4 linked regions of the Oreochromis niloticus genome follow. The protein of the gene in region 2 interacts with the protein of the main gene of each other region in a pairwise test. Links are inferred from orthologs where the notes say so. Each region holds a gene or a part of one and is shown on either strand. Other genes may lie near its edges. The genes, in order: frmd8, plekhf2, hspb7 and ube2z.

Evidence for each region.
Region 1: the proteins of plekhf2 (region 2) and frmd8 interact in binary tests that used the Homo sapiens proteins (3 or more experiments, as listed by UniProt). The two-hybrid records come from large-scale screens. The link is inferred for Oreochromis niloticus from reciprocal best matches to the Homo sapiens genes PLEKHF2 and FRMD8.
Region 3: the proteins of plekhf2 (region 2) and hspb7 interact in binary tests that used the Homo sapiens proteins (3 or more experiments, as listed by UniProt). The two-hybrid records come from large-scale screens. The link is inferred for Oreochromis niloticus from reciprocal best matches to the Homo sapiens genes PLEKHF2 and HSPB7.
Region 4: the proteins of plekhf2 (region 2) and ube2z interact in binary tests that used the Homo sapiens proteins (3 or more experiments, as listed by UniProt). The two-hybrid records come from large-scale screens. The link is inferred for Oreochromis niloticus from reciprocal best matches to the Homo sapiens genes PLEKHF2 and UBE2Z.

Annotation. Positions count from the first base shown.
Region 1 is NC_031975.2:9,261,790-9,268,830, forward strand, and holds the start of frmd8 (FERM domain-containing protein 8), read right to left. Parts: upstream 3,013-7,041; 5' UTR 2,595-3,012; intron 2,424-2,594; exon of another isoform or gene 2,402-2,423; intron 1,349-2,401; 5' UTR 1,342-1,348; coding exon 1,251-1,341; intron 1,124-1,250; coding exon 956-1,123; intron 842-955; coding exon 740-841; intron 1-739. Other genes in the region: rom1a (rod outer segment membrane protein 1a), read right to left, coding at 5,066-5,287, 5,427-5,673, 5,809-6,239. UniProt on the Homo sapiens protein: Promotes the cell surface stability of iRhom1/RHBDF1 and iRhom2/RHBDF2 and prevents their degradation via the endolysosomal pathway. By acting on iRhoms, involved in ADAM17-mediated shedding of TNF, amphiregulin/AREG, HBEGF and TGFA from the cell surface.
Region 2 is NC_031976.2:29,650,218-29,657,281, reverse strand, and holds the start of plekhf2 (pleckstrin homology domain-containing family F member 2), read right to left. Parts: upstream 3,018-7,064; 5' UTR 2,832-3,017; intron 1-2,831. UniProt on the Homo sapiens protein: May play a role in early endosome fusion upstream of RAB5, hence regulating receptor trafficking and fluid-phase transport. Enhances cellular sensitivity to TNF-induced apoptosis.
Region 3 is NC_031984.2:27,250,226-27,257,805, forward strand, and holds the start of hspb7 (heat shock protein beta-7), read left to right. Parts: upstream 1-4,560; 5' UTR 4,561-4,578; intron 4,579-5,181; exon of another isoform or gene 5,182-5,296; intron 5,297-5,395; 5' UTR 5,396-5,410; coding exon 5,411-5,576; intron 5,577-7,580.
Region 4 is NC_031969.2:1,108,688-1,116,490, forward strand, and holds the start of ube2z (ubiquitin-conjugating enzyme E2 Z), read right to left. Parts: upstream 3,007-7,803; 5' UTR 2,573-3,006; coding exon 2,121-2,572; intron 185-2,120; coding exon 112-184; intron 1-111. UniProt on the Homo sapiens protein: Catalyzes the covalent attachment of ubiquitin to other proteins. Specific substrate for UBA6, not charged with ubiquitin by UBE1. May be involved in apoptosis regulation.

The sequences.
Region 1 (7,041 bases), on a different chromosome or scaffold from region 2:
AAGGATCACATAATCTCTCAAAGAGTGGAATATAACGTCTCTTTTTCTCTTCCTCCAAATGGTTGTTCTATATTCACTTTGATTTTCTACCTGTTTCAGTCGTTTCCTTTCCTGTTCAACAACAGCAGTTCATGTCAATGCCTCCTTTTCCTTGTTTCTCTTTTATCTCATCCAAGCAAACCTGACAGCCCTTTTATCCATTATTTACCTCGAGTAAGCCAGCAACCAGCATTAACTTATAAGTAAGCTAGAAATAAAGAGGAAACAGCTGCAGAAAAAGAAACAAGCTGTTGTCAGCACGCAAAAATGCTTTGTTTGGAGGCAGAAAACCAGGCTGATGACAGAAGTCAGCTTAAGGCAAACAGAGAGTGCCAATTACTAGACTGGACAGATGTTTACGTGCAGCTCATTGCTAAATACAGTGTTTTAGAAACTATAGAATAATATTCTTCGGTCTGTAGAGGATTGCAGCTGTTTAATTATTAGATTTATGGCAACATAAGAGAGCATACTCTGTAAGCAAAAAGCTTTACTTTATCTTATTAGGAAGGATTTACAAGAATAATCTACCACTCAGCAGCAGAAGCCATTATCTTTCCTTTCATCTCTTTGTACACTGCAACCACCCTTTTCCTGTATGAAGTTCCTCTCATGCTTTCATTACAGAAACTAGATTTCTTGCATTGACAGCTTTTCTTTAGTCCAGTGTTTGGTGGCGCACGCAAGTCAAAACTCTGACCTTGTGAAATGTCTTCCTCTGAAGCCTCGGTGAAGCGATAAAGCAAGTCGTGCCACTGCCGACACAACTTGTACGGTTGATGCCTTGTCTTTAACTGCAGTTCTGAAGATAGGGAGTGAGGAAAAAAGTTATACAGCAATATGTTTTACTCATATCAAGTAATATCATATATTACAGTTAAGTGATAGAAATATGAGGGGGGGAAAGAGTTCTAACCGAGCAGTGGAGAGCAAAGCCAGAAGGCAAAAACATCCTGTACAGACTCAGGAATATGGAGAGCTTCACGAACGTTGCGGCCCAGCTCTTGCACGGTGACAGTGCCGAGCCCTTCTAGAGTTAAGTGTACTGCACTGTCACCAAACAAGTATATAAGCACATCTTGAGCTGTGTGAAAAAACATAATTTTAAAAAAAGCAAAAAGATTAATAACAATAACAATAATAATAGATTAACTACTTTGGGGGGGTTTTGCATGATAAAATAATCTGGGTGAAACTGTTTGGCATCATACCACGGGATAGTGTTGCAGAAGAAGCCACACTTCCTCTTAGTGAGTGATCATCTGATGAATCTGGAGGAAAACTGCACTCATCTCCTTCCATCTCTAATCTGAAATCAAAACACCAAAAATTCAGACCAGTAACAACACAGACTCAAGACAAGATACTTTAGAGGGAGGAGCAATGCAACTGGAAGGGATGGCTAGAAATGTACCCAAGTGTCTGATGGGTGAGACAAAACAATCACCAGGAGTGAAAAGCAAAACAGTACTGTAAACTGCACTTGAGGAACACAAACACGTCGCAGTTGAACACAGAAATGGCAACAGAGGCAGCACACCTGCAATATATTAGAGTCCCACTCCCAACCCTAATGGACTCTCAAGTTATTCATCAACAGTATGCTAAAAGGAAATGCCAGCAAAGCGGTGTAGGCGTGTGTGCTGTTTATACTGACATTCTTACACATGTGTGTAATAGCTTGGGAATAGCCACATACTATATCTCTCTAAATAAAGCATTACAGCTAAGTAACCCCTTCAGAGATAACTAGACCAGCAGGAATTCAATTCAATTTAATTTAATTATATAGCGCCAAATCACAAGAACAGTCGCCTCAAGGCGCTTTATATTGTAAGGTAGACCCTACAATAACAGGGGGTGTATCTTTATCACTTTATTCCACTTGGTGCTCTTTCCATTATATTTTGTTCAAAACAAAAGTCAGGGTTCAATACATAACCCAGCGCCACCTCGTGTTTTTAACCCGAGAATGATCCTATACAATCACTACATCCCAGTCAGTCGACTGCTGACCTCACCCTGTTCAACTGCAGTGCTCCCTGAGCACCAACATGTAACTGTTAGGGTTTTTAACGTGGCTTAGAACATTTCTAGAACAGCCTTCATACCGTTACAGAGAGATAACAAACACGGGCGTCGTTGAAACGGGCAACATCTCGCCGCCCGTGGATAAAACAATAGCTAGCTCCTTAGTTTTAACAGGGCTGCCCCTTACATACCCAAACTCAGCCGGGGATTAAAGGTAGACATTACAGAGAATAACTCAACACACAAAAAGTGAAATGCGTTGACTAACGTTAGCTAACAGGCAGTTGAAAACACCATGCTAGCTAAATTAGCTAGGCATCGGAAATATTACCAACACTGGACGTCACTGCGATCATTTTAGACGTGTTAATGCGCTTCATTTATCTGCCAGTAGGAAACAATTTAGATGCCGAAGCTATCTGGCCCATTGGCTAACTTTGTGTGTGTTTTGTTTAACAGAGTGACCCACTATTAATAGCAAGTGATGAAACTACTATGTTCCAATGTCTCTGTTGTCCACCTACCTGCCAGTTCCTGTAAGTTTCCGTCCACTTGCTTCTCTAGATGGGATCCTGCTGATTTTGTAAGTACTGTGGCCAAGTACACTGACTAATTAAAAACCCGCTGTTATTGCCCTCACCACAGCTTCCCAGCTACCCTGAACTAGCTCTTCTAGCAGCTGCAACAGTTTCAAATTTTGCGACTCCCGAACGACTTGATTATTCTAAACCGTTCCTCATTATTTGGGTGTGACAGCCAAGCTAGAAGATTTTTCTAAACACAGCAATTCAAATATTTCTAAATTAAACAGTCGCGGAGGACACTGGAAGCGAATATCCATACATGTTCCATCTGGAGGTACTTTGAAAGTTCACTGACTGACATAGAGTGTACACTTTGAAGTCGTTCACATGAGATCGGGTCAAAAATACTTGATCCTCAGAATGACGGGGAAAAAATGAGGCAAACGTCAGAGAGCGCGTCGTTCCGTCACGTGACTGAAACGTAATCGCAGTTGTATTTCAGCAGGCAGCGGATTAATTCTGTTTATCTGTTGACTGTCATTAAATTTACCTGCGAAAAACAGATTACAGCCACGGTAATACAGTCGATTCCACGCAGTCACAGCTTCAGACGTCCTCATGAATCAACTTTGATCTGATACAGTCTCAACCCATGTCTCACAAAGTGGTATTTATTGGATTGCATTTACTCACAGTTTAATATCACCCATTGTATTTTCCCATATTTATAGACTTCTTAAATTGTATATGTTAATATTCTTGGCAGTATATTGACCTGTTATTTAAGTTTAATGCACCATGTCAGGGAGTATTGCCATAATTATGTTATCCTTGCATAATGACAATAAAGAGTCATGAATCTTTTCAACAGATTTAAAAACAGTGACTCTAAATATACACCGACCAGGCATAACATTATGACCACCTGCCTAATGTTGTGTTTGTCACATGTCACCCTTTTGCTGACCCATGGAGGCATGGACTCCACTAGACCCCTGGAGGTGTGCTGTGGTATCTGGCACCCAGATGTTAGCAACAGATCCTTTAAGTCCTGTAAGGTGCAACATGGGGCCTCCATGGATCGGACTTGTTTGTCCTGAACGTCACACAGATGCTCAACTGGACTGAGACCCGGGGACCTGATCAAACCGTATCAAACTCTCTCAAATCCTTACTCTGGCCCAATTTCCCTGCTTCTAATACATCAATTTTGAGGACAAAATGTTCACTTGCTCCCTAATATATCCCACACACTAACTCTTGCCAAGCTGAAGAGATAATCATTTATGTCTGATAGGTGTAAATAACATGATGGAAATACTGCACTTTGTAATGTGCAAAAAAGGCATGTATGTAAACAGTAAAGTGATTTTTTTTTAAATAAACTTCCTTGTACAGTTTTAGGGAAATATATTACATTACATATTGGCATGCCTATATAACTTTGTGTTCGAATGATTATCTCTCAGCTTTACCAGTATTCCGTTTTACCAGTCTCAGTATTATTATTTTTCACCTTTTCAAATTTGTATAAGGAGACCAAGCCTTCATATGGTTCACCGTGCATCTGCCAGCCACCTGACGCAGGCGTCTAACTGCAAAGGCAGCAGGCTGGGTATTAACTAATGGGATTTAGCAGCTAAGGTGTCAGAACAGAGGACACACTTGATGGCTTTCATTGCATTACTGACATCGATTAATCAGCCTTTGTAATCTGATTCCTTTCACTGAGTGAGATAAGAGAGAGGCAAGGAGAAAGTGCTATCTCACAGCCACTGTCATGGAAGGTGACAAGTGAAGTATTTTAATGTCTCTGCGTGCTGTATTTACATCACAAAGAAAATAAGAAAACAACTCCACTCCATGAGGCATTTAGTAACCTCAAACTTTAATAAATCATCTTTTATATATTATTATTGTCATAATCCTGTTGCGCAGCAGAGCATTGTGCCTCATGTCTCTCTACAGTCAGCTTTACATCTTCCAAAAAATATATAATTTTTGTCCACTTGCTCTTCGATTAATGTTTATCTTCTGATTGATGGGTGCATCAATTGCATATATTTGTAGGACTGTAAACATATAACAATCAAGGATTTGTTAATCTTGTGCAGTGAATAACAGGCAAAATAAAAGTGATAAACAATAAAAAAGATCTCATTATTTTAAGCATCTTATTCATTTTAAGGAGTACAAGTGTCTGAAATCTGGATTAATCATAGCTGCTATGGGTACATTTACTGGCAATAAAGACACCAAGATAGAATTTGACTGGGAATTAGAGTAACACTGTATAGATAAACTTTACTTGTGATAGTCATCTGACAATAAAAAAACAAAAACACTATCCCTAAATTTGTGAAATTCACAGAAATTCGTTATTGTGTTCTTTTTTAAAAATTGAAATCATTCCGTAGTTGCCGTCTTGTACAAGTTATTTACACGTGATGTTTTTAAATGTAAAATGTGGTTTAGGTGGGAGTTGGTGTAGCAGCTGTTGTGGCTGCAGCACTCCCTTCTTCGACCTGGTTTTTGAGCAGGAAGAACTTCAGCACAGGGTCGAGGTACTCCATGATGGTTTCTTTCACTCCCTTCTCTAGCAAGTACCCTTCTGTCTCAATTTCAGTGTTTTCCTTTCCTGCCACTGCCTCCATGGCAGTCTGCAGGAGGCGCAAACTCACAAGCACAGAGCCCTGCAAAAGTGAGAGCCATTGAGGAACAAGTTAGACAAGGGTAAGCTCTTTAAAACCTAGTGTTGTATGTCTCTCATTTGATAAATTACAAGCTCGCTGTCGCACCACAATCTCTGCCTGAAATCATTGTCGGGCTTACCTGTAAGAGGAAGATTGACAGAACTCCAGCCCCAATTGTGTTCATCAGGCCCATGTAGTAGTTGACTAGAGCCTCTCTGCACCCTCGGAGGTAGATGTTGAGCTCCTCAGTTTGGTAATCATAGTTATAGTGAGCTGAATTGTTGGTAAGCTGATACTGGATGCACGGCCGTGGAGAACTGGGGTTACAGCAACTGAATGGGACTCCGTCTACCAAGTAACGGCCATCCACGTTGCTCTTGATGCGGCTATAGAAACAAATGAGGGATTACTAACACTGTTACCACATGATTGTTTTCTTTAGTCACACTTTTTCAATCCAAACTCTTTAATTTTTCAAGAATATGCACAAATGTGAAAGCCACTACCCTCCAGACCCTTACTCTTTCACTTCCTTAGAGCTGAAATCAAGGTAGCGGTTGCTGATCCACTGGACCTCGAACCAATCCCTGAAGTCATTGTTCCCACAACACTGAAACTCCATCTGCAGGCGATCGATGTTCTGCTTCTGGAAGCAGCGGCCTGGTGTGTCTGTATCCTTGTAGAAGCGGATGCCATTCCTCAGGCCAGCCTTTAGAGAAGACTCCAGACTGCCCTTCATTGCGTAGCTCATGATGACAGCTAGCAGCATGAGCACGGTGAAGAAGCAAGAGACAGCGAAGTAGGGCTTCAAGAAGTTCTTCCAGCGAGGGAATCGCCCAGCGTCCAGGGCATCCTGACAGATCTTTGATGCAAAGTAGTTGATGCCCAGGGAGGCGAGACCAACAATCATGAGGGTGTTCGGCACAATATGAATGTCTTGGTTATCCATTACCTGAAAGTGAGTCACACAGCAATGTATGGAATATTAAACCATTCAAATTTATCTCATTAAAATTATGCAGAACAAATAAACAAAATTAGTGAAGTATGAAATTGTATGAAAATCACACTCACCAGCCACTTTGTGAGGTACACCTGTTCAACTACTTGTTAACAGAAATAATGAAGTAGCCAGTCACATGGCAAGAACTGAGTTCATTTAGGCATGTAGACATGGTCAAGATGACTTGCTCAAGTTCAAATTGAGCATCAGAAGAAAGGTGACTTAAGTGACTTGGCTGTTGGTGCCTGGTCTGAGTATTTCAGAAACTGCTGATATACTGGGTTTTTTTTCCCTACACAACCATGACTAGGGTTTGCAGAAAATTGCTCGTATCCAGTGAGCTTCAGCTCTCTGAGTGAAAATGTCTCTGTGATACTAAAGGTTTAAGTAGAAAGGCCTGACTACTTCAGTCTGATAGGTAAGGAATGGTAACTGAAAAAAAAAACACTTGTTACAAACAGGGTATGCAGAAGAGCATCTCTGAGTGCACAACACATTTAAGCAATGGGCTACAGCAGCAGAAGACCACATCAGGTACCACTCCTGTCAGCTAAGAACAGGAAATTGTGGCTACAGTTTGCATGGCCTCTGCAAAATTGAACACCAGAAGACTAGAAAAATGTTGGTTGAGTGAGTCTCGTTTTTTGCCTTGTATCAATGACTTACTTTGTTGTTTGATGTGGGGATATTTTCTTGGCACACTTTGGGCCCCTCAGTACCAACTGAGCATGGTTCAAACCCCAAAGCTTAC
Region 2 (7,064 bases):
CGCCCACAATTTCCTTTAACCTTTTGTTCCCACAGAGATACTCAGTCTAATAATGCAATACAGCAGAGTTTTTCCTATAGTAGAACAGGATTATTAGAGTGCTTTTTTGTTTAACCTTCTTCCTACAGAAATTCCAAAAGTGATCGCTACAAAAACGCTCCATATAGGTAAGTTTATTAAGCCCAGCTGTTCCTGTCACCGCAAAGTATTTTAGAAAGCATCCTTATCAATATGTAAATCTCTTCCTGCTCTTCACACTCAGTCATCACAGATGTTTGCTTACAGACTGTATTTGTTCCCCCAAACCTATTTAGTTAGAATTAGAGAATCACTGTTTTATTTCAAGTTACAGTTGAACAGTTGCAGCTAATTCTCGTTTTTTTAATAAAATTAATATATGTCCAAAAAAACCCAAAAATATTTTGTTAACCGTAACCATTGTACTATACAATATTCAGAAATCTTTACATTAGAAGAAATTCCTAGTGAGTACTTTGCTTAAGAGTTGAAAGATTTCATTACTAAATTTAAACCACCAGCTGATCCAGCATTATTTTTGTAAGTGTGAGTGACAAATGAGAAAAGGTGAAGACAGTGGGGTGGTTTAATACTACTTAATAATACTTTCTTTAAACATTTAAACAATAGCCTTTGCCAAAGGTAAATGTCGTTCTGTTTCCTAACAGGGCGATGACAGCCACTCAAGTCAACACTGACAGCTATCGAGTCACAATGTAGCACCCACAATACATGAGGGAACAAGGGGATACTCTTTACTCTTTTGTTCAAGTGTACATGTGGGAGTTTGATCAACCAGGCTAAAGGATTTTGAGAAGGCATTTGAATGCATCCCTCGGTATGTCACGTACATCCCTTGGGTGCTTCAGAATTAAGAAGTACCAGGCGTGTTGTTACAGGCTAATCAGTCCATGCAGATGCATAGTGAGAGCTTAGTCAGCATTGGCAGCTATAAGTCACATTCATCCCCAGTGGGTGTTGCACTCTGCCAGAGGTGCCCTTTGTCACAGATTCTGTTCATAACTTTTAAAGACAGAATTTCAGGTTCAGCCAAGAGGCGGAGAGTTTCACGCTTGGTAGTCTAAGAATCACGTCTCTGCTTTTTGCAGATGATCCTGTCAGATACATCAAGTGATTACCACTGTCTCACACTGGAGTGATTTGTTGTCAAAGCACCAGTATTGCAGCCATATCCAAAGCCAGAGTGCCCACCCCAACATGGGAACAAGTTTCTGCCTCAAATGGAGGACTATTCCAACGCAGATTTTGTTCACTAGTGAGAGGAGAACTGAGAATGGAGTGAGAGCTTGACAGACACAGTGGTAGTGTTACAAACATTGTACCAGTCTGTTGTGATGAAAAGAGAGCTAAGTGTTAAGGCACAGCTGTCAACATCTGGGAAGTGACAGGAAGAATGAGTCTGTGGGTATAAACAGTGAAAATTAACTTCCTCCATAGGGTCTCTGGGCTCTCCCTTACAGGAGGGGTGAGGGGCTTATAACCACTGCTCCTCTATATCAAAAGGAGCCAGCTGAGGTTACTAGGATGCCTCCTAGATAACTCCTATGTGTGGTGCTTTGGGAACATCCGACTGGGAGGAGACCCGAGGACAAGCCTAGTACATGCTGTAGAGATTATGTCATTCAGCTGGTTTGGGAATGTCTCCATGTCCCACCAGAAGAGCTACAGGCAGTTGATGTGGATAGTGAGATCTGGTTATCTCTGCTTAGACTGCCACCCCTCCGATTCATACCCAGATAAACAGCAGAGAGTGGATGTCATTTCTTTAATTATTTCGTTTTAATTATTCTAATTATTTGGGGTGGCTTAAACTGGAAAGTGGACAAAGAAGAAAACCTTAAAACCGTGAATTAGGGATTTTATAATTAAAAATAACAAAAATCTTCTTCTAACTGAAAATGAATCAGTGGGAGGAGAGAAAGCGAATACTGGCCATGGAAGACATGTGATCGTCCTCTAACCTTAAGTTCAAAGACTCCGTGTAGTGGAAAAAGAAGTCAAGTGAAAATAATGGGCAACCTGACTAAGGCAGAGGCAAGGCGTTGCAGACTTCCCATTTTGTGGTAGACAGGTTTCACCAGCAATCAGATTCGCACATTCGCTTCCACAAGAGCTGTAATAACAGAGCCTGGACCGCTAACTGATTGTAGGTTACCTGCACAGTGAGGCAAAGGTGGGTGAAGTTGGCCTAGAGAAATATTAAACTTTACACTAGGTGGAAAAGTCAGTTTCCTTAACCACGCATCAGGCTAACATTACCTACGCTGATAAATGGTCCGTTTTCAGCCTGTCCTGACCTGCTAAAAATAAATAAACCGCAATGACTTTTCCTCGCAGTACTCAAAAAGCCACCACTGGCGAGGCAAACTGAAACCGTCACCCTCACTTTATTGTTTCTTTACAATGAACCACCTTAACCACGATATGACTAAAAGTTTCTGTGACTTTTCAAGTTATTGCCCCGCAAGTTTTCCAAGCTGGTGTCAGTTGGCAGCGTTAGCCAGCTAGCTCCCAAGTTAGCTTCCCAAACAATACTCACCTCTTACTGCTTGTGTCAAACAAAAATCAACTCCGCTTTTTCGACTTTAAGACTACAAAAAACTTCTCGATTTTATGTCCCTGTCTGGGACTCAGAGGAAAGAAGGATAGCTGCTCAACTGCGCTAAGCTACCGCCTGTTAGCATGAATGGGAAAAAGTAGAAGCAAACCACAGAGCAAGCCGTAGCTCCCCTTAGCAAAGAGTGACAGGACACCGACGGAGACAAGTTTAAAAACGGGGAAAAACTACATACCCGACGGCAGCTCCCGTTGTCCGGCAACTTTTGCTGTAACTTGAAGCTCGGTAGTAATCCAAATAGAGTGATTAAAGCAGTGCCTTCCCCACCGAAACTACCCACCGCGTCCGCAGACAGCGACAGCAGCTGGAAACTCTGCCGCTGCCCAGAAAATACAACAACAACATGGCAGCGCCGCGCCGCGTTCACGGCGCGCTGGACAGCCGGCAAATACAAAACTAAAACGTGCTTTTCTCTGACCTGCAGACATGTAACAAACTTCAAACAAAGCTGAAATGCGAATGAACTCGTTTATTCTGGCACAACGTTGATACAAACATTACGAAAAATGCCCATCATCATTACTTAGCGGAAGTTTATAACTTCACATGTTTTGTCTCGTCCAGCAAACAACTGACAATTATTTAAATATTAAGTTTTTACAGTTATGTTAAGTACAGTCGTGTACGTCTGTATGTCCGTATTATTACTTCAGCTGTTTTTTAGGGTCACCACAGCGACTTATCTGCCTCCATCTCATCCTAGTCCTCTGTCCCACCAGCCATTTGCATGTGACCATCAGTATCAATGGAAATCGCATCATCTCATTATCATCAGTATTATTGTTAATATTATTAGTAGTAGTAGTATGCATGCTTAATTGTCAGATAACCTAGTTGTTTTACCTTTACTCTCTTGGTCTCCATTCATTCTTCCGCCTTTAACTATAAAATTAGTGTTGGAACAATTTGTGAGTTAATTTTAATATTTCTTCTTTTGAAATAAACTTTTATCTCCTTTTACAACAAAAACATAAACAATAATAATCTTCATTTTTATGATATCTGTTGCTGCTTTGTGCAATACTGTATATCACTGTTTACCCACCTTGAGTACTTTATTGATATTCTTCAGTACAAAGGTTCACATACATTTATAGTGTCATGTCATGCATGCAGCGTTACCGCGAATGTCTAATTGGAATTATATTTATGTATATGTAACATCCCTGTATTATGTCTATGCTGTGCATTGAGATACAAGCAGTGCAATAATATTACTCTACTATGAACTCCTTATTGCCTTTAACTCCTTATTGAAGTTTACAAAATGACTTGACAAACAGGTAACAACATAATAAGGGTAAATTCAAACAGTGTGGCAAACATTAAAAACAGACAAAACAGAAAGAATTAGTAAAGTAACCCCCAAAACCACAGGGTGCAAGACAAGAATCAATAATAAAATAGAACAAAAGATGAAAGACTAACTAAGAAAAGAGGTGAAAGATTAATCAGGTAAAAGGAAGGGTATAAAACTTCAATTCAATTCAGTTTAATTCAGTTTTATTCATACAGCACCAAATCACAACAACAGTTGCCTCAAGTTACTTTATATTGTAAGGCAGGCCCTGCAATAATACATACAGAGAAAAACCCAACAATCATATGACCATCTATGAGCAAGCACTTTGGCGACAGTGGGAAAGAAAAACGTTTTTAACAGGAAGAAACTTCCAGCAAAATCAGGCTCAGGGAGGGGTGGCCATCTAAGGCCTTCTTAAAGTGATTTAAGAAATTATTTTAAGTGAATTTTGGACTGCTGGGCACAATAATAATAACAATAATTCTGTCTACTTAGTACTTTTTCACACCATGTTATTCAATTTAACTAATGCTTGCTTTTTAATTAGAATGTCACATAAAAAATATGATGTATTTATAAAATAACAGATTTATCCATCAATTCACAAAAATTGTTTGGGGCCTCTTTAAATACTTGTTAGTAATCTTTAAAAACTAATTTCCTTTCAAATATTTTTATTTAAATGTATTTGGACTTATCAAGATATTCGGTATTATTAATATCTGGTAGACAAATAAATTAAATGAGAATAGATTAGTGTATTACTTGAATTCCTTTCACATTAATTGATGTGAAAAGGAATGGTATAATGTTGTTAAAACAAGCTGCATATTAATAAACAAAACCTTACAAAGTTCTGTAAACTTTCTTCCTACACTGTGATGCATCAAAATGAATAATGTAATCGGTCACAATAGTCTGTTTGCAGCACAAATACTTTTGATTTTAATCCTTAAGTAAATTTAGGTGATAACAGCTGTTAAACACACCCGATTAAACAAAAACACCAGCAAGTCCTTTAATCAGCTTACAGTGAAACCTAAAAAAAACTTTTATGACTTTTATGACTAACTGGTTTTCAAGACTTGTTACACGCACCAAATTTTTGTTTACTTTAAATGTCCTGCCAGATCAGAAATCATGCAAGATTTCTTAGTTGTGTTTGTTATTGCGGTGTTTTATTCGATGTCAAAGAACAATACTAGGTTGGATCTCCTTTAGCCTTAAGAACTGCCTCAGTTCTTTGTAGCTCAGATTCAATGAAGTGCTGAAAACAGTCCTCACAGATTTGGTCCATATTGACATGATAGCATCATTCAGTTGCTGTAGATATGTCAGCTACACATCCATGAAATAAACTTTTACCACATCCTAAACGTGCACTATTGGACTGAGATCTGGTGTCACATGAGTACTCATTGTCACATTTGACAAACCAGTTTAAGTTGATTTCGACATTGTGCCATATGTCATCCTTCTCGAAGCAGCCATCAGCAGATGACTACGACTACACTGCAGTCCTAAAGTGGCAACCACTGTTTAAACAATGGTTAGTTGATACTAAGGAACCCGAACTGTGCCAAGAAAATATCCCCAACATACCACCAACACCAATTTGGACCGTGTGATGCAAGTTTACATGGATGGTTATAGGTCGTCTATGTCACAGTACAAAAATCAAGGCTAATCACACCTGTCAGCATGTTTTCTGATCTCCTACTGGCCAGTTTTGGTGAGCTTGCATGAACTGTAGCCTCAGTTCCTTGTTCTTAGCTGACAGAAGTGGGACCTAGTGCAGACGTCTGCTGCTGATTCAAAGTTTGACATGTTCTTTGTTTGGAGATGCTCCTCTGCATACCATGGTTTTAACAGTTGTTATAACAGGTTATTTGACTAACTGTTGCCTCCCTATAAGCTTGAAGCACTCTGGCCATTCTTCATCAACCTGACATCAACAAGGCATTTTACCTAGAGAACTGCTGCTCACTGAATATTATCTCTTTTTTTGAGAGATGATTGTGTGGCAAAATCCCAGTAGATCGCCATATTCAAAAGTCACTGAAATCACCTTTTGTCACCATTTTGATGTTTTTCTTGACCTTTAGCTGTCTCATTGTTCACATCTACATGCCAAACAAGTTTCAGCAAGTAAGGATGCAGTTGATTTGTTTATTCCCACATGCAGTGAAAGCAGCATGAGCAGGGCCAGAAGTTGTGGTATTAGAAGGAGACCTGCTTTTGGTCCAGAGCAGAAACCAGGACAGGACATGCTGCGGCTTGCTGGGCAAAAATGGTGTCACCCAAACTAAAGTTAAAAAAATAAAATCAGTGGGAAGTGTTTCCTTTAGTGAGAATAACTTTTTAACAAGTTTCCTCTGGCATTCTGAAATGTGTTAAAAAGATTTTTGTTGCCCGAGGCAGTGGAGATGCTGTTGCTACATGCCCTTAAGCAAGACAATAGAATATCTGCAGCTGAAGCCCCACATCAGCCTAGCAGGGAGTCAGAATTGATCCAACGCTACTACTGTTTGGGTGTTCAAAGAAGGTTTTCAATTTGAACCCCACCCTCCCGGTAGCAGTAAACCTTTGCCCTCCTTGTCTATAATTACTATTTTTTCCCCATACCTTGTCACAGGTGTATCACATGGCCTTCTTCAGCATATCACTGTTGCTCAGTTGTTGATGATTTGTTACCATCTGGATCCTTTCAGGATAATTTAAAAGTGAAGCATCAAAATTAATTTTTGATCTTGAACATTGTCATTTGTATGTCCAAACTCAAAGACCACTTAGGTGCTTTCCCCAGAGCTTTTAGCTGTTTGCTGTTATGTTATTTTAGGCTAACACAACATCTCTGGACAAAGCTGCTAAGCTCGCATGCCAACTATTTATCTCTGTCATGATAAAATAAATTCATCAGTCATGGTGGAAAGCTGCAGGAGAAAAAGCAATGAAAAAGATGGGTAACAAAGTGTTTACTTCAAGGTTTTGAAATTAACTTTAAGTTATACTAACTGAGTCTGAATTTATTTTACTAGCATTATTTAATAGAAATGTAGGTGACAGAAGATTTGTTTATATCAAACTGACAAAGATTTCTTTTCT
Region 3 (7,580 bases), on a different chromosome or scaffold from region 2:
TAAACAACTGGTCTAAAACTAAGAAACACTTAAATATTAAGTTGAATTTGAAAACAGTTTTTTTTTTTTAAATATCCCCATTCAAAAATGTCATGTGACAATCTCATTGGCTTATGGAGGGATGATGTCATAAGGACATCATCACTCCAGCCCTTTAATAAGGCTGATATAAAGGTAGAAAGAGTCAAGGCAAACATGAATACATGAGATCTGAACGGAACCCTAAAGTTGGTTGTAATTGCTCAGCGTGGGGAAAAGAATCACAGCTCACAATAATTTCTATTGAGAGCTCAGTAGATTTTCTTTTTGTACAGGCTGTGATCAGCTGACCTGCGACCTTTTGTGGATGTACACAACTGAGTTCAACAAGATGTCGACAGATGGTCATGCCTTGTCCTTTGTGTCCAGCCTCTACACTGACAGTATTCTGTTTATGCTCTCTTTTTTCCACACAGGATAAAGTTGGTGTGAAGGTTTCAATCTGTGAATGAATCTAAGCACCATCACCTTAACTTTAAATTCATCTCTGTTACCCTTTATGTAACTGAGCTCTGACCGTGAGCACCACAGCCACTGTGTACCAGTCACACGCACTTTAAATCCATCACAGTAAACCACAGTTAGTTTACCTCAGTTTGTTTTGCAGCACATTTCACAACATGAAAAAACATAATGTCACATGTACAGACTCAAAATCTGATTTAAAAACATGAGGACTGACCTGTAAGCTTTACATTTACAGTTTATCACATACCACTGAGCAGTTCTTACCTGTAATTCTAACCCCTCTTCTTCCTTTTCTGCCCTGTCTTTCTTATCTTTTTCCATCTCTGAGTGTAGTTAGCTCTCTTTCTCTCCCTGTGAAATACAGCAGCTGGACCTTTAGCTAGCAACATACTGTGCGACAAAATGCATGAAAGCCATTTGTGTGTTTGTGGACGTTTGTTGAGCTAATAGAAATGTTGCATTTGAAATTACTTACAACTTAAAAAATAATACTCGCTTAATGCTCGCTCATCTTGTGTAGGGCTAAATAGACTCTGACGGAGTGCAACCACGACCTGCAACTATTCCGATGTTGTGCAAAATAAAATGAATAAATAAAAATACCCGTGGCTATGGCACACCATTTGCCTCTTTCATCTATTTTTATGCGACATCCCCTGGTGTTTATTAGGGGAACATGACTGCCTCGAATGCATTAAACCAAAAATAAACATGTTTAGAAAATGTAAGGAGGAAAAAGTACTGATATTTGTTTAAAAATCTAGGAAGTAAAAGTCAAAAGTTGACAGATACATAAATTGTTAAGTAAAGTGGAGATACCTGAAAATTCTATTTAAGTACTGTAAAGAAAAGTATCTGACTTCCTTACTTCTCACCTCTGCTACCTATCGAGCCTGCTTGTCGTTTTTTGCGCTTGCGCTACAATCACCTACACGTGGGACCAAGTCATTGTTTTGCAAGCCTAAAGTAAGTCTCAAATTTTTATCCTCAAGTCAGAGTCAAGTCTCAAGTCAAGTCCCAAGTCCAAAACTTTGAATTTCAAGTCCTTTCAAGTCTTCTTTTTAAACAATGTTGCAGTCATATGTTAAATGTAAATAACAGACCAGGTGTTCTTTTTCAAATCTGTATTTATCTCAACACCTGATGAAACAAGTGAACTTACAAGATATGCACAAACTAATTCTGAAATTGCACCTCTATAATGTACAGCTCAATTAAACTTTGCTGCAAGAATAGTCTTCCTCTAAACTACAAATTCACAGAATAAACATTCAGTGAAAAATGCAAAAGTAGAACTTCCTGTTCAAACAAAAAGTGCTGAGATTTCCTTCTGTACAAAACAATGAACCATCGCAGTAAATTTAGTGCAGTGTGATTAGCTTGTCCTCTCTCTCTCTCATCATAAAGTTAGCTGTAGCGCTGCTGTTCCCCACATCCTTCTTCTGCCTCTTACAATAAGCAGCAAAGAGTCCTCCATCTTCACAGTCTTCTTGATGTTCCTCACCAGGAGTCACAGGTTGCTCTGGCTTTGCAGGACTGCAGCATCTTGCAGGATCAGATCTGGCAAAACAAATTAACAACAGCAAAAGAGCCTTTATTACAATTTTAGACAAAAAATAATCAGAAAGAATATACACTATATTCACTCTTTACCTTTAACTTTTAGTGTCACCTCTGTCTTTATGTCACAACTGCCCAACACATGGTGTTCCACCCACAACAGAGAGAATGCTGGATCCACAGCAGCTGCTTTAAGGTATACTGGATCTGAAAAGGGAGCAGTGAGCCCATCTTCTGCTCTAGCCTTTTGCACACTGATAGAGATCCCAAAAAATCTTTTGTTCAACGATGCTTGGAGACTCCTGACCAGACCAATCTCTGTTTTTGATACAATTGTTCTGCGACATACTGTATTTTCTGTCAACTACTGCCAGAAAGTGCTGAAAATTCTTGTTTTCCACAATAGACAGGGGCAGGTTGCGACCAATAATCAAGTCACTTAATCACGCATTTGTGATAGCTTTCTGCTGTGGATGAGTCATGCTGTACTGTCCGGCACAAGTGTCCATAAACTGTGATATGGAAGGCTGCAGAAGGCTCTGCAATCACCTGATTTCAGTTCGCGTGTCAGAGGAGGAAAATAGCGCTTCAGTCTAGAGCATGGACAGTTATTTTTACTGCACAACAGGACAAGATAAATGGTAAAGTGACAGACTGCATCGAGGACAGGAAGAATTGCATCATGCTGCTAACACAACTTCGGTTTCAAGCATCTGCCCAGACAGCATGCTAACGCTAAGCTAGCCAAGAACCCACTGTGGTCAGATTTGTCCACTAAGAGACTGATCTTCGAGACATGTCTTCTCATTAGGGATTTGACTTGGTGTGTGTATGTTGCCTGGGGTTGATAGTGTTAAATTATAAGATTATGTGTGTTGCAGTTATTTCACAGAGTAACATGAATGTAATGTAATGTTACTCTCGGGAGTAAATAAGTCATATACTGCATTGCGGCCAGGGTAATATGTGAAATAATCACTTTTTTGAGTAAAGACTCTGATCACAACAAAGAGGGAAAATACCACAACAAACATGCACAACCATTTGACCCACAGCATTAATGTCATTTCTGCTGCTTAAAGATGGTGGTGACTCTGAAAACGTACCCAATGAGAACTTAATCTATAAGTGATGTTGATAATGGAATAGGAATCACTGAATTCTTATCAATTCCTACAACCAGCAGCTTTAATCTCCGTTCGAAGTTTGAAACACTGATTCATATCTGACTCTGAAATAAAGTAACAATATTACTGCTGTTACTAGGTAGGGAGGAGGCTCTGTTAGGGAGGTGCTGAGTTGCTGGGCTGGATTTAGACCTTCAGCAGGGGTCTGTCATGATCTGAGCAGCCAGGAACACACAGGCACAAATATAATCTTCAAAAAAATGGGTTTTATTATACCCCAAAAAGGACAAGATGATTACAAAAATTCAAAATAACAAAAATAAACTTTTTTAAGAACCAAGTGGGCCCATAAAAGAGGTTAACTTAACAGAACGCTACTCAAAAGTCACTTAACAAAAACATAACTCAACAAACTGACCTGCCCAAATGAGAAACAGCTCTAGTTATATAGCAAATGAACAAACCATTATATACACCAAAGGTGAAAACTAAAGAGATAACAGCTAACCATCATTCAAGAAGAACCCCATTCCCCCTACATGATCACAATAGATGGTCCCATCCACTTTATTGGCTTCTGCATTTAAACCAGCTCCACCCTCAGCCTCCTCTTTCAGCCAAACTAGGAAGGACTGGAGCAGAGGTCAAGTAACTCAGAAAGAGCAGAAATATAATTAATATAACATACCTATATAAAATAACAAACAATGCAAAGTCTATGCCACCATTTGGGCTATAGCTTAGTGCTGTCATGCATTACAGGTAAACTCAAAATATCAAATTAGTTAACTTATGATCACAGAAGCTTTAGAGCATAATGTAAACATAGGACAAAAAGATCAAATGAATATTACCTAAGTATCTCAATTGTGTGGTTGCATGCAGCCATCACAGGTCTGTACTGATAAGACTGGAAGCAAATAACAGTGTGGCGTCATTTTCAATACTGGGTAACGTTTCAAAAAAATAAGATCACCTTGCATGGTGGATTGCCTGAGAATTTACTGTAAAGATTGACTGTGATGGTCATTATTAGATGTTAAGGACTGAGGTTGTGATCTCTGATTTGCCTATAATGTGTCTTACATATAAACCCCTGCGAATCACAGGCAACCTCCTTTTCACTGGAATAATGAATCACAAGTCAACAAGGCAACCTCAGAGAGCACATAAATGGATTTTAATGGATTAGCTGTCAGCAGCACTAACTAGAAAAAAGGAGCAGAGAGTGTTTGCTAATCATGATGGGCTGTGCTCTCCATGCAGATATTAATAGCCACAAAGCAATGTCACTACCGAGGCCCCTGCCCCCATCCGTGGCTTTGTTTTCAGCCACATTCTTTCCAGCTTTGCTTTTCTCCTAACCTACACTCTGAAAATAGAGGTGAGGCGCTTTTTTCACTTTTAGCTTGACTTTGCTCGCTTCTCTCAGCGCAACACAAGACAGCAGCTGCGTTTTCTGGCACATGATTAGGAGATTGAATTAAATAAACTTATGACACTGAGAAGGATTTCAGTTGAAAACGGGCCCTTGTGAGAGCACAAACATCTCTATAATGAGATGAAACCGCGCTACACCGTACGCTGTCATTAAATGGCAGAAACACGTGCGGCTCTAATTTCAGGTCAAAAGACGTGGCCCTGAATATTAAGAAAGCAGAAGAAACAGACAGATGGGAGTGATGGGGAGCAGGGGGAATTAAAGCGAGGGTCGGAAAGCTATTTCAGGGATGACGTGTGATGGAGTGACAACTGTTGCCCCCCTCCCCTTTATCCCCTGTCAGCCCCTGCTCTTTCTCTGCCTCTCTCTATCAAATCCCACTCTGCCTCCCTCTCTTAACTTTAGGCCCTTCAGTGCCCAGAACTTTTCCAACCACAGACCCATCTCTCCATCAGCTCTGAGTCTCATGATAAATTTAGAACAGTGTTCCCAATGAGCTGTGGCTTGTGTGACACGTGCCACCTCCCAACCACTGCATGGGACCGTATAGTATATAAGGGCCGTGGGTAAAGGGCTGCAAGAGATTGGGGGTAAAGGTTGATACTGCCTTACGCAAACCAGAAAAAAAGAATAAATAGACAGACAGAAAAAGACAGTACAGGTAAATAGAAGAGCTGTGTGTGCAACTATAGCCGCAAGAAGAATCAACTCTCTCCGCCTCCCTCTTCTCTCCTTTTCACTCCTCCTCTGCCTTACCCAGCACTTACAGCCATCCATGAGTGTAACCAACTCCTCTGCCTATCGATCGGAGCGTAGTTTCCACCAGACTTCATCCTCAACTACGTCCTCTGGTAACCCATACATGGAGAAGAGCCGGGGACTATTTGCTGAGGACTTTGGCTCGTTCATGCGGCCTGGGAGCGACTCCTTGGGTTTTTCCAGTAAGTTGGAAGCAAATTTAAGGTCTCTGGCATTCGTTTTGTAAACAAAAGGGGTAAAAAATTAATAGTAAAAGAGAGTGGAAGGAACAGCTTTGACGGCAAAGAAGATTTATGCCCGCTTGAAGGCGATTTGTGTACAGTGGTGTGTTTTTGTTCGAGGAGTGATAACATATCTTCAGAGGAAGACGATGGTGTGGCTGATCTGTGTGTGGACAGATGTTTCTTTAAGGAAAACTGTAGCCAAGGTGCTAAAAGAAGAAACAGAACACACTCCATTTTTGGATGTGTATTTTCTCCTTTTTTAAAAGATGTATTAGGAATTTACATATGTGTTTAAAACGGAGGGTTGAGGAGATTTTTTTCTTCACACAGCCTGGTTCATCTACTGCCTCAGTAACTCAGTGTCCACTTGGTGTGAAGTGCTCCGTATCACTTTGCTGCCGGTCCACGCAGACGCGTGAATGTGTGAAATCGGATCTTTAAATGGTCCATGTGCTCCTATGTGTCAGAGGCAGAGCAGCATTGTTTTGGAGCCACAGTTGGTGCTGTAATAGGTGCAGCAGATAAGATGTGAGGTGGTCGCTGCTGAGAAGAAGGCAAAGCAATCACACACACACACACACACGCAAGCACACACAGAGTACGTGCAAACCTGGGAATGCTGGACTGACTGCCAGCAGTGTGACATCACACACTGAGTATCTGGGATGACGCCTGCATGAGAAATGACCAGATGGTTGCCCAGTGACCAGTGTACACACACACACACACACACACCTACACACACATACACGCACAGTGAGGTGAGGTCACATAATTAAGCTAACCTACATGTGAAGTCAGAGCTAATATCACTCACACACACTCATTTCCAGGCTGCTGCCGTGTGTGTGAGGTCATGCACCACGCAGGCTTTCAGTGAGCTCAGACTCCACAGGGACAGAAAATAAATCACACTTTTTTCCTGGACTCACTCACCTATCAATCAAGGATATTTAACCGGGACTACAGCTGTGCCTCTTGACAATTCTTAAATTCACACCGGGCACGGATTGAATGATTATGTCATGTGGAAGATTCACAGGAGCGACACAGCCACAAACCATCTTTCGGCTGTCGGTTTTCTTGCCTCCAAACTGCTCTCAGAAAACTTAAGTCAGCTGGAAACAAAAAAACAAAAGTCAACTTCTGGTTATTGAACATCCGAGGAGAGAAAGTCATTAACTCAGCAGCTAAAAAGTCAGATATATTCTCCAAAGAGGTGGTGCAGACCCAAACAGAGCAAAAATGAAAGTGAATATAGATTATGGATGAATGTGGACAGATTAATGATCTGTTTTTTCATGTCTGCCCATAATGTGAGCCAAATTTCAAAACAGTTAATTTTTACCCCAATTTTTACACCTCATCAACTAATTGCCATTATTACTCATCATATTTTTTGATCTTGTATATGAATATGAACAACAAGAGCTAAAAAAAGATTTTGGAATTACGAAAGAAACATACAACAAGGGAATGTAACTGATTTCTATCTGACTCCTCAAAGCACTTTACACAACACCCCTCAATCACAGAGGCACTTTTGTCTAAGTGCTTTCTATCTAACAGACAACTTGAGGTTAAAGTATGTTGCACAAGGGTACTTCAGCATGCAGAGGCCAAGAGTTGGACCACAAACCTACAGCCAACCCAAGCTTACAACACTTGGTATTTGTAGGCAGTCTCCCATTGATGTACTAACCTAGCCCAGCGCTGCTTAGCTTTCAAGATCAGCCAATGGCATGCTCAGGTTGGTAAGCATGCGGCATAGATTCTAGCAGTTTTATTTAACCATGGAAAACAGATGATCCTCAGCACTGTAATAATTAAGGTGCTTGTTCATCTTTTGTCTCTGCTCAATCCATTAAATCGACAATAAAATCCATGTTTGCCTTGAATGTGTGGAATAGGTGTGTCACGCTATTGCAGCAAAAGCAGAGATTCTGATCATGTCTAAAAATG
Region 4 (7,803 bases), on a different chromosome or scaffold from region 2:
CCTGATTTGCATCAAGCCCAGGAATAAGAAGCCTACTGAAATCTGATTGGCTATCAAGTTAACATGTTAATGATGTCAAAGGATGGTAAATCTCTGTACTTTGCCTTTTACCTTGGTCATGTCCTGAGGATCAGGGACCACGAACATCCCTGGTGGAGGTTCCTTGTAGATGGACATAATATCCCTACAGACAAAATAAACAGATGAGGTTTGTGAAACACTGAAAAATGGAGAGAGAACCCACAAAGAAATATGCCCCTAAACATTCCAGCAATCCACTAGTAAAACAGTATGCCCTGGAGGTGAATGATCTTAATATTTTCAGAAATCTATTATAAAAAGTACATTTAAGTACAGTACTGGGCCCTAAAGTTGCTCTAATGTGAAGTTTTCTAGCATACTAACGCAGTCATTAAAAAAAACCTACCATAGTCAAGTTGGCAATTATATGCAGTGTGTTTCTGATAATACAGCAATTAACAGTGATAAACTGCATCTGTGTTCAGCAACCCTGCTGTTCTTTAGGAATGAAACCAAAATACAACCAGCTGAGTCGAGTCCTCTCGACTTGTGACAAAGACTCATTCAAACTGATACCAACATGTTAACAATCTGTTTGCTTTAATACATTAGACGGGAATTATTTACCAGAGTTGCAATGATGCTAGAACTTCCAGGAAAAGACTCGAAGGCAACAAGAATGTTCAAGCTATCAAGCTGCATAAACAGGTAAATTAAGTGAAATTGTACATTTCATTAATTTGGGTCAAGCGATTCCTTAATAACTTTATTTTTGTTTATTAAGCAACAAATTAATGAAATGTTAAAAATCAAAGAAGTGTGTTCATGTATGTGTAGGTCAAACTAAAGCAACATCTTTAAACATAGGCTGAGTGCGCTACTGTCTAAAATACTGCTCAAAGGGTATCTCTCAGTTTTCTGGATTTGTTTACCGTAAGACTGGTAATCTCAATAAGCCGTCTCAAAAATCAGGTTATCAATTTGCAGAGTTAAGCCTGCATGTTTGTGTAAACCAGGTGGTGTTGGCAACATTTTACCAATCTAAAACAGGAATTTCAAAGGCAATGTTACTCTTTTTCCACAGAAAACGATCCCTATAAATGCCAACAATTCAATCAGCAATATTATTAGATGATGATAAAATTGTGATTAAAAATCTATAAAAAGCATAAAACTTATAACAGCAAAATGCAACAACTGCAAAGAAGACATGCAGTTAATGCTGCAGAAAATTATTAATCTGGTTATTTAGCACACAAAGCCCTATAAATAATTAACTGGAATTTAAATGTTTATTTATCACTGAGTGCACTCTCAGTGCTGGTGTTTATTTCTAAGGTGATGGCTACACGTTAGAGCTCTGAAACTTTGAACTGGTCCCACTAATCCAGGCTTAGTTAAACATATCTCACTCAAAACATGTCACAAATAAAAGACTCAGTGAAAACGTGATGCTTCCAGAAAGTTTTAGTTTTTATTCTTTCAGCTACAGACTCAGTGGTGTTGAAGGGTTTGAAGCAGTACAGTGTAAGTGTCCTGTTTTAAGATCATTAATCCTTCTAGAACAATAAAATTGCTGTAAAACTGTCTGCTTCTAACATTAAAAAATACAAATAAAATAAAACCATGGAATAAAGCTGTATCTAAGAATCTATATTTATTACTGATGTGAAAGCCAAAGACGTTACACGCTATTAAAACAAAACAACAACAACTTCAGACCCTCTGTGGGACCTTCTAGGAATGGTGAATTTTCTGGATAACCGATTCGTCAGAAGGCAACGATTTCACACCTGTTGGTCTCTGATCTCGAACTTGACCTGCTCTGGGGGAGGTTAAGTTACCATGGCGACAAATCCTGGTACGAAGTTAACCCGAAAACAGATAGTGAACAGAAAAGTAACCCTGTGGTTACCTGGTTCCGACGAAATCTCGCTTCTTATTACAGACCTCTAGTTTCCCAAATGTCCCCGTCAAATGTGACGTTTTAGATGCTGTTAAAAACTTTACGGAAAGATTTCACTTTCGATTGCAGGTCTAGATTACATAAATATTCCCACCTGCGTCAGATTTGTGTGTGATATGTTTCCTAGAATTACCTCTTTATCCTCAGGATGCACTGCTGGGAAGCTTTTTCGTTGTCCCAGTCCGTGCTGAGAGTTGGGTCCCAGGAAGTGGCATTGATTTGAGAGAGGAGGCCCGCTCCTGCCGCCCCTAGCCCAACACCGGGGAGAGGCGAGGAGGCATGCAATGTGGGAGACACGGCCACGACGGGTGGTGAAGAGCCGGGAGTCAATGTGTTCCCAAAACTGACCGGGGTAGCAGTGACAGCGGACATAGGGGCCACCACAGCTGTTAGGCCACTCTGCGCGGTGGCGGCAAGAGGCGGAGAGGCCGGGTTGGAGCTGGAGTGCACACCGCCAGTTGCCGACATTCCCACCGGCAGAGAGTTAGACAAAATCGGAAGCTGTGAGGCTCCGCTCCCCTGTCCCGTAGTAACGTCTAAGCCTAGGGCACTGCTGCTGGACTCATCTCCAAAGCTGTCCGCCATGGCCCACAAGCTAGCAAGCTACAGTAAACCCGTTGGTGTTGAGTAATTTATATTTTTCTCCTGCGCAGCATTGACAATAGAGTTTAAAGATAACCTGCTTCCTTTGGTGCCCAACGCGGATCAGACAGCAAAGAAACCGGGCAGAGGCGAGGCCAGAAAGCGAGGCAATTCTTCCCAAGACATAATGAATATTTATCGTTAGCTTGACTGTCTTTACCCCCAGGCCTCCAAAAAAAACTGCTCGGTCTTCAGCAAAATTGCAACGTCACAGTGTTACGGTTACCACTGCCCTCTGGATACTGGTTTAAACCATTAAATCCTCAGAACATTTGGTTTATTACCAACCACATCCCTACCAGTCTTTTACCATCGCAACTTTAGGAGCTTGTATTTGTCACCAGTTAAGAACACGGAAATAATAAAGCCACGGCACATCCGGGCAAAAATTTTCAAAGTAAAATTCCTGAAAATTAAAAAACAAAACAAAAACAAAAACCAAAAAAAAAACCAACCCACCATCATTTCAGCTTTTGCAGCTAGCTTTTGAGCAAGGCCATGCTCAAAATTTGCAAAAGAATGGGAAGTTATTGTGCCCTCACAATCAACTGTCCGAGTTTGTGATCCACTTCTGCATCTGCAGAAAATATCTCAGTTTGTCTCCTCCTTTGCCTCTGTAATCTAAAACAGAGATAATATGTCTTGGATAATTTTTAAGATATTTTTGTACTTTTTAAATATACTTTTTTACGTTTTTTTAAAATTTGGAATTGGAAAATGAGTTGAGCTGAATGCTTCCTGTCAAAGTTGGTTGCCTATCCAATGCATGGACTCAGCCCTGTAATAAAATCAAGACTTGCATTTTTTCTAATGGTCAGCACCTGTGAAGTATTGTAGTTGCAAAAGCTAAGTCCCGTTCTATGAAAGTCAGTTTGGAAAACAGCCCTCAGCTCCCTTGACCTATAATCAGAGTAAACACTTAATGAGTAAGTAAAAAACACAGTAAAGAGCTTAGGCAATAAAATTAGATCAGAAAATGAGCTTTCTCCAAAAGGTGGATAGGGTTTCCCTTAGCAATACGGTGAGGAGATCAGTATTTGGCAGGGGTTAGGAGTAGAGCCGCTGCTCCTTTACATCAAAAGGAGCCAGCTGAGGTGTGTGCCTCCTGGGTAAGGTGTTTCAACCGGGCCTATCCTTACGGTAGGAGGTCCCGGAGTAGACCCGGGACCTGGAAAGAATATATCAATTATATGGCCTGGGAATGTCTTAATATTTCCCCGGATAAGCTGGAAGAAGAAGAATCTGGTGAGAAGGTCTGGCGTTCCCTGCTTAGGCTCCTGCCCCCACGTTCCACCGTCAGATAAGTTATCGAAGATAGCTTTTTATTGTTTATTTATTGTTTTAATATTTTAGATGTTAACTTTTATTGAAGTGGTTGTCTTGAGTTTTCAAACAGTGTGCATCATTCACAATGCACGGCACATAGTGCCACAACTTTCAGTCGCATTTTATTTGTTTTTGGCTGTTAATTTTTCCCATTTTAATAATATGTTAAGATCTTTTGTAGTAACATATTTGTGTGGATGCCTTTGAGGGCATCCACACTATTGAGTTCCTGTTTCTCTTTATTGTGTGGATGCTGGAGGCTCTTTAAACTTTATTGTGTGGATGCCCTAAAGGGCTTCCACACTATTTGTGTGGATGCCCTAAAGGGCTTCCACGCTATTGAGTTCCTGTTTCTCTTTATTGTGTGGATGCCCTCAAAGGGCTTCCACACTATTGAGTTCCTGTTTCTCTTTATTCTTTATTGTGTGGATGCCCTCAAAGGGCTTCCACACTATTGAGTTCCTGTTTCTCTTTATTCTTTATTATTATTCTTCTAGTTGCTTCCGTACACTTTTTGGACTTCAACTACTCCCTCAGTTTTCAGCCGATTTTCTCAGTTCAAACTATACTGTTCTGCCCTTTCTGCTCTTTCCGGCAATGACTTTTGGTGTTTATTACTATCATACTTTTTAAAATATTACACTTTTTTCCTTTAATTTGTCCCATTGAAATGAATGGAAAACTTCCGCAATTCTGCTAAAACTTGCTTGTTTTTGAAACTTAACTACTTCCTCATACTTTCACCTAGAAACTCCATTCAAACTTTAAAATGTTCTCAGATTATTGGGCTATTCCTGTCTGATTCAGCTTTTTCAGATCTTCTACTGTTTTAATCTTATCCCTCTTTAAGTTTTCAGTTGCAAAATTTTGATTTTTCAGAAAATACATGCGTTGTTATGGTTGCTATGCAATTAACTCAGAGTGGACACTCATCCATTCTGAATTTTCTCTTCATGTTCCAACAACTTCTTGCTACTCGCCCAATTTCCACTCAAGCTCCACATATTATACATCAAAACGTAGGTATTTTTGCTGGCTTTCAGAAAAAGGTCACTATCATTGTTGTGGGAGTTATAGATTTTTTGCAAATCTCCTCAGAGTAACACAAAGTCTGAAAATTGTCTTTAGAAAGTCAATGGAGAGTTTGTTCAAAATCACCGCTGTATTTGTCTAATGAGAGGCATTTTTAAATCGTCATATCTCCTTAACGAAACAAAGTTGAGACATGAGGCTTGTGCAAATATATCTTCAGACAGTCCTGATGCTCACAATTCAAAAAGTTTTTTATCACCTATTACCGTTTGGCCAAGAATTACACTTGTTTGAGAGTAGGAAATTCATGCCTTGCTCAGATCTCTACAGATTTCAAACTCTGGAAATGAGGCACTTTTTTCTCTCGTCATATCGTTTTGATGGATTTCCACAGAGACCTGAAAATTCCCATGACTGTTCACCAAAGCCTGCTGTTTCTTACGGTGAAAGAATGATTTTGATGCTCCATATAGATTTAGAGTTACAAAACGTTGTTTGAGGGCAGGTCAAGGCAGTTTTGCTTTGCCTCTACTCAGTTACAGTGTATTACAAGTCATATATCTTCAAGAATTTATATTTTATCTCTGAATTATGAAGACCTGCAGATTTCCCCATCTCTTCTGAACAAAACGGTGTCAGAATGACCGTTCTAGCTCCTACGGTTAGGAAATTATGGCCATTTGTTCGAGGGGAATCCTGAATGTGAGAAATACACTGAAGGAAACCCATAGCTCTCTGTGTGTCTGTGTGTGTAAGTGCTGATTACAGCAGGTGCAGCCAATTTAGCTGACCTAGATATACCAAGCCCAGACTCTTAACAGCCCCTGTACACTTTGCTCTCTGTGTATGTGTGTGTGTGTATCAATATCTCTCCCATGTTAAAGTATTACTCCTCCATAATAGTATTTGTGCTATATCAAAGTACTTCTACTACATTTTAGTACTTCTGCTCAATCATAGTATTTCTGCTAAATCATAGTATTTTTGAAAAATCATGTTGTTTGTGCCAAATCATGGTTTTGGGGCAAAACCATAATATTTATTTCATGTTATAGTATTACTACTAAGTGGAGGAATGTCTGTCATGTTATAATATATGTGCTGATTACAGTATATCTGCCAAATCATAGTATTTATCTCGAATCATAGTATTTATGCCAAATTACAGTATTTCTACTAAAAAGCAGAAATAGTACCTTTTAGCAGAAATTTCTGTCAAAAGATATTAGTTATGTTAAAACATAGTATTTCTGCTAAATCATAGTATTTCTGCCAAATCATAGTATTTGTACTAAATCATAGTACTTGTGGCTATTCATAGTACTTGTACCCAATCGTATTATTTCTGCCATATCATCATATTCGTGTCAAATCATAGTATTTTTCTGCCAAATCATGGTATTTGTGCCAAATTATAGTATTTGTGCCCAATTAAAATTTCAGAATCAGAATCAGAATCGTGTTTATTGGCCAAGTATATGTGCAGACAAATACAAGGAATTTGGTTCCGGTAGATGGTGGCTCTCGAGCACAGCAATGTAAATCACACACAGACACAGACACACACGCACCCACACACACACACGTATCTATATATACATTACACATGCATACACATACATACACAAAGCTGTGTAAACCAACTATAACTAATCTAAACGTATATACATAAAATACAGAAATGAAATGAGGTGGAATGAATACTACAGAATGTACATAAGGTACAGTTACAGTCTGGCAGTGGGAGCAGTGTGACAGGTCAACTGTTTAGAAGGGAGATGGCGAGGGGAAAGAAACTGTTCCTGTGTTGGGTGGTCCTGGTCTGCAGGCTTCTGTACCGTCTGCCAGAGGGCAGCAGATCAAAAAGTCTGTGTCCAGGGTGTGAGGGGTCTGTGATGATTTTCCCTGCCCGTTTCCTGGTTCTTGAGAGGTACAGATCCTGGATGGAGGGCAGGGGGGCGCCGATGATCCTTTCTGCTGCCCGTACAGTCCGCTGCAGTCTGCACCTGTCCTGTTTAGTGGCTGCACCATACCAGACTGTGATGGAGGAGCACAGGACAGACTCAATGACTGCAGTGTAGAACTGGATCAGCAGCTCCTGTGGAAGACTGTACTTCCCCAGTTGTCTCAGGAAGTACATCCTCTGCTGGGTCTTTTTGAGGATGGAGTTGATGTTGGTCTCCCACTTCAGGTCCTGGGAGATGGTGGTACCCAGGAACTTGAAGATCTCCACAGTCGACACAGGGCTGTCTGATATGATGAGGGGGGGCAGAGTTGAGGGATGTCTCCTGAAGTCCACTGTCATCTCTACAGTTTTAAGAGTGTTCAGCTCCAGATTGTGCTGACTGCACCAGAGTACCAGCCGCTCAACTTCCTGCCGGTATGCAGACTCATCACCATCCTGAATGAGGCCAATGACGGTGGTGTCATCTGCAAACTTTAGGAGTTTTACAGCTGAGTTCTTGGAGGTGCAGTCATTAGTGTAGAGGGAGAACAGTAGTGGTGAGAGGACACATCCTTGAGGGGCACCAATACTGAGGGACCGAGTTTCAGAGGTGATCTCCCCCAGCCTCACTTGTTGCTTTCTGTCTGTCAAGAAGCTGGTGATCCACTGACAGGTAGCTGGAGACACGCTGAGCTGGGAGAGTTTGGAAGAGAGAAGTTCAGGCACGATGGTGTTAAAAGCCGAACTAAAGTCCACAAACAGGATCCTGGCATAAGTTCCCGGGCGGTCAAGGTGTTGCAGGATGTAATGCAGCCCCATATTCACTGCATCATCCACCGACCTGTTTGCCCGGTAGGCAAACTGCAGAGGG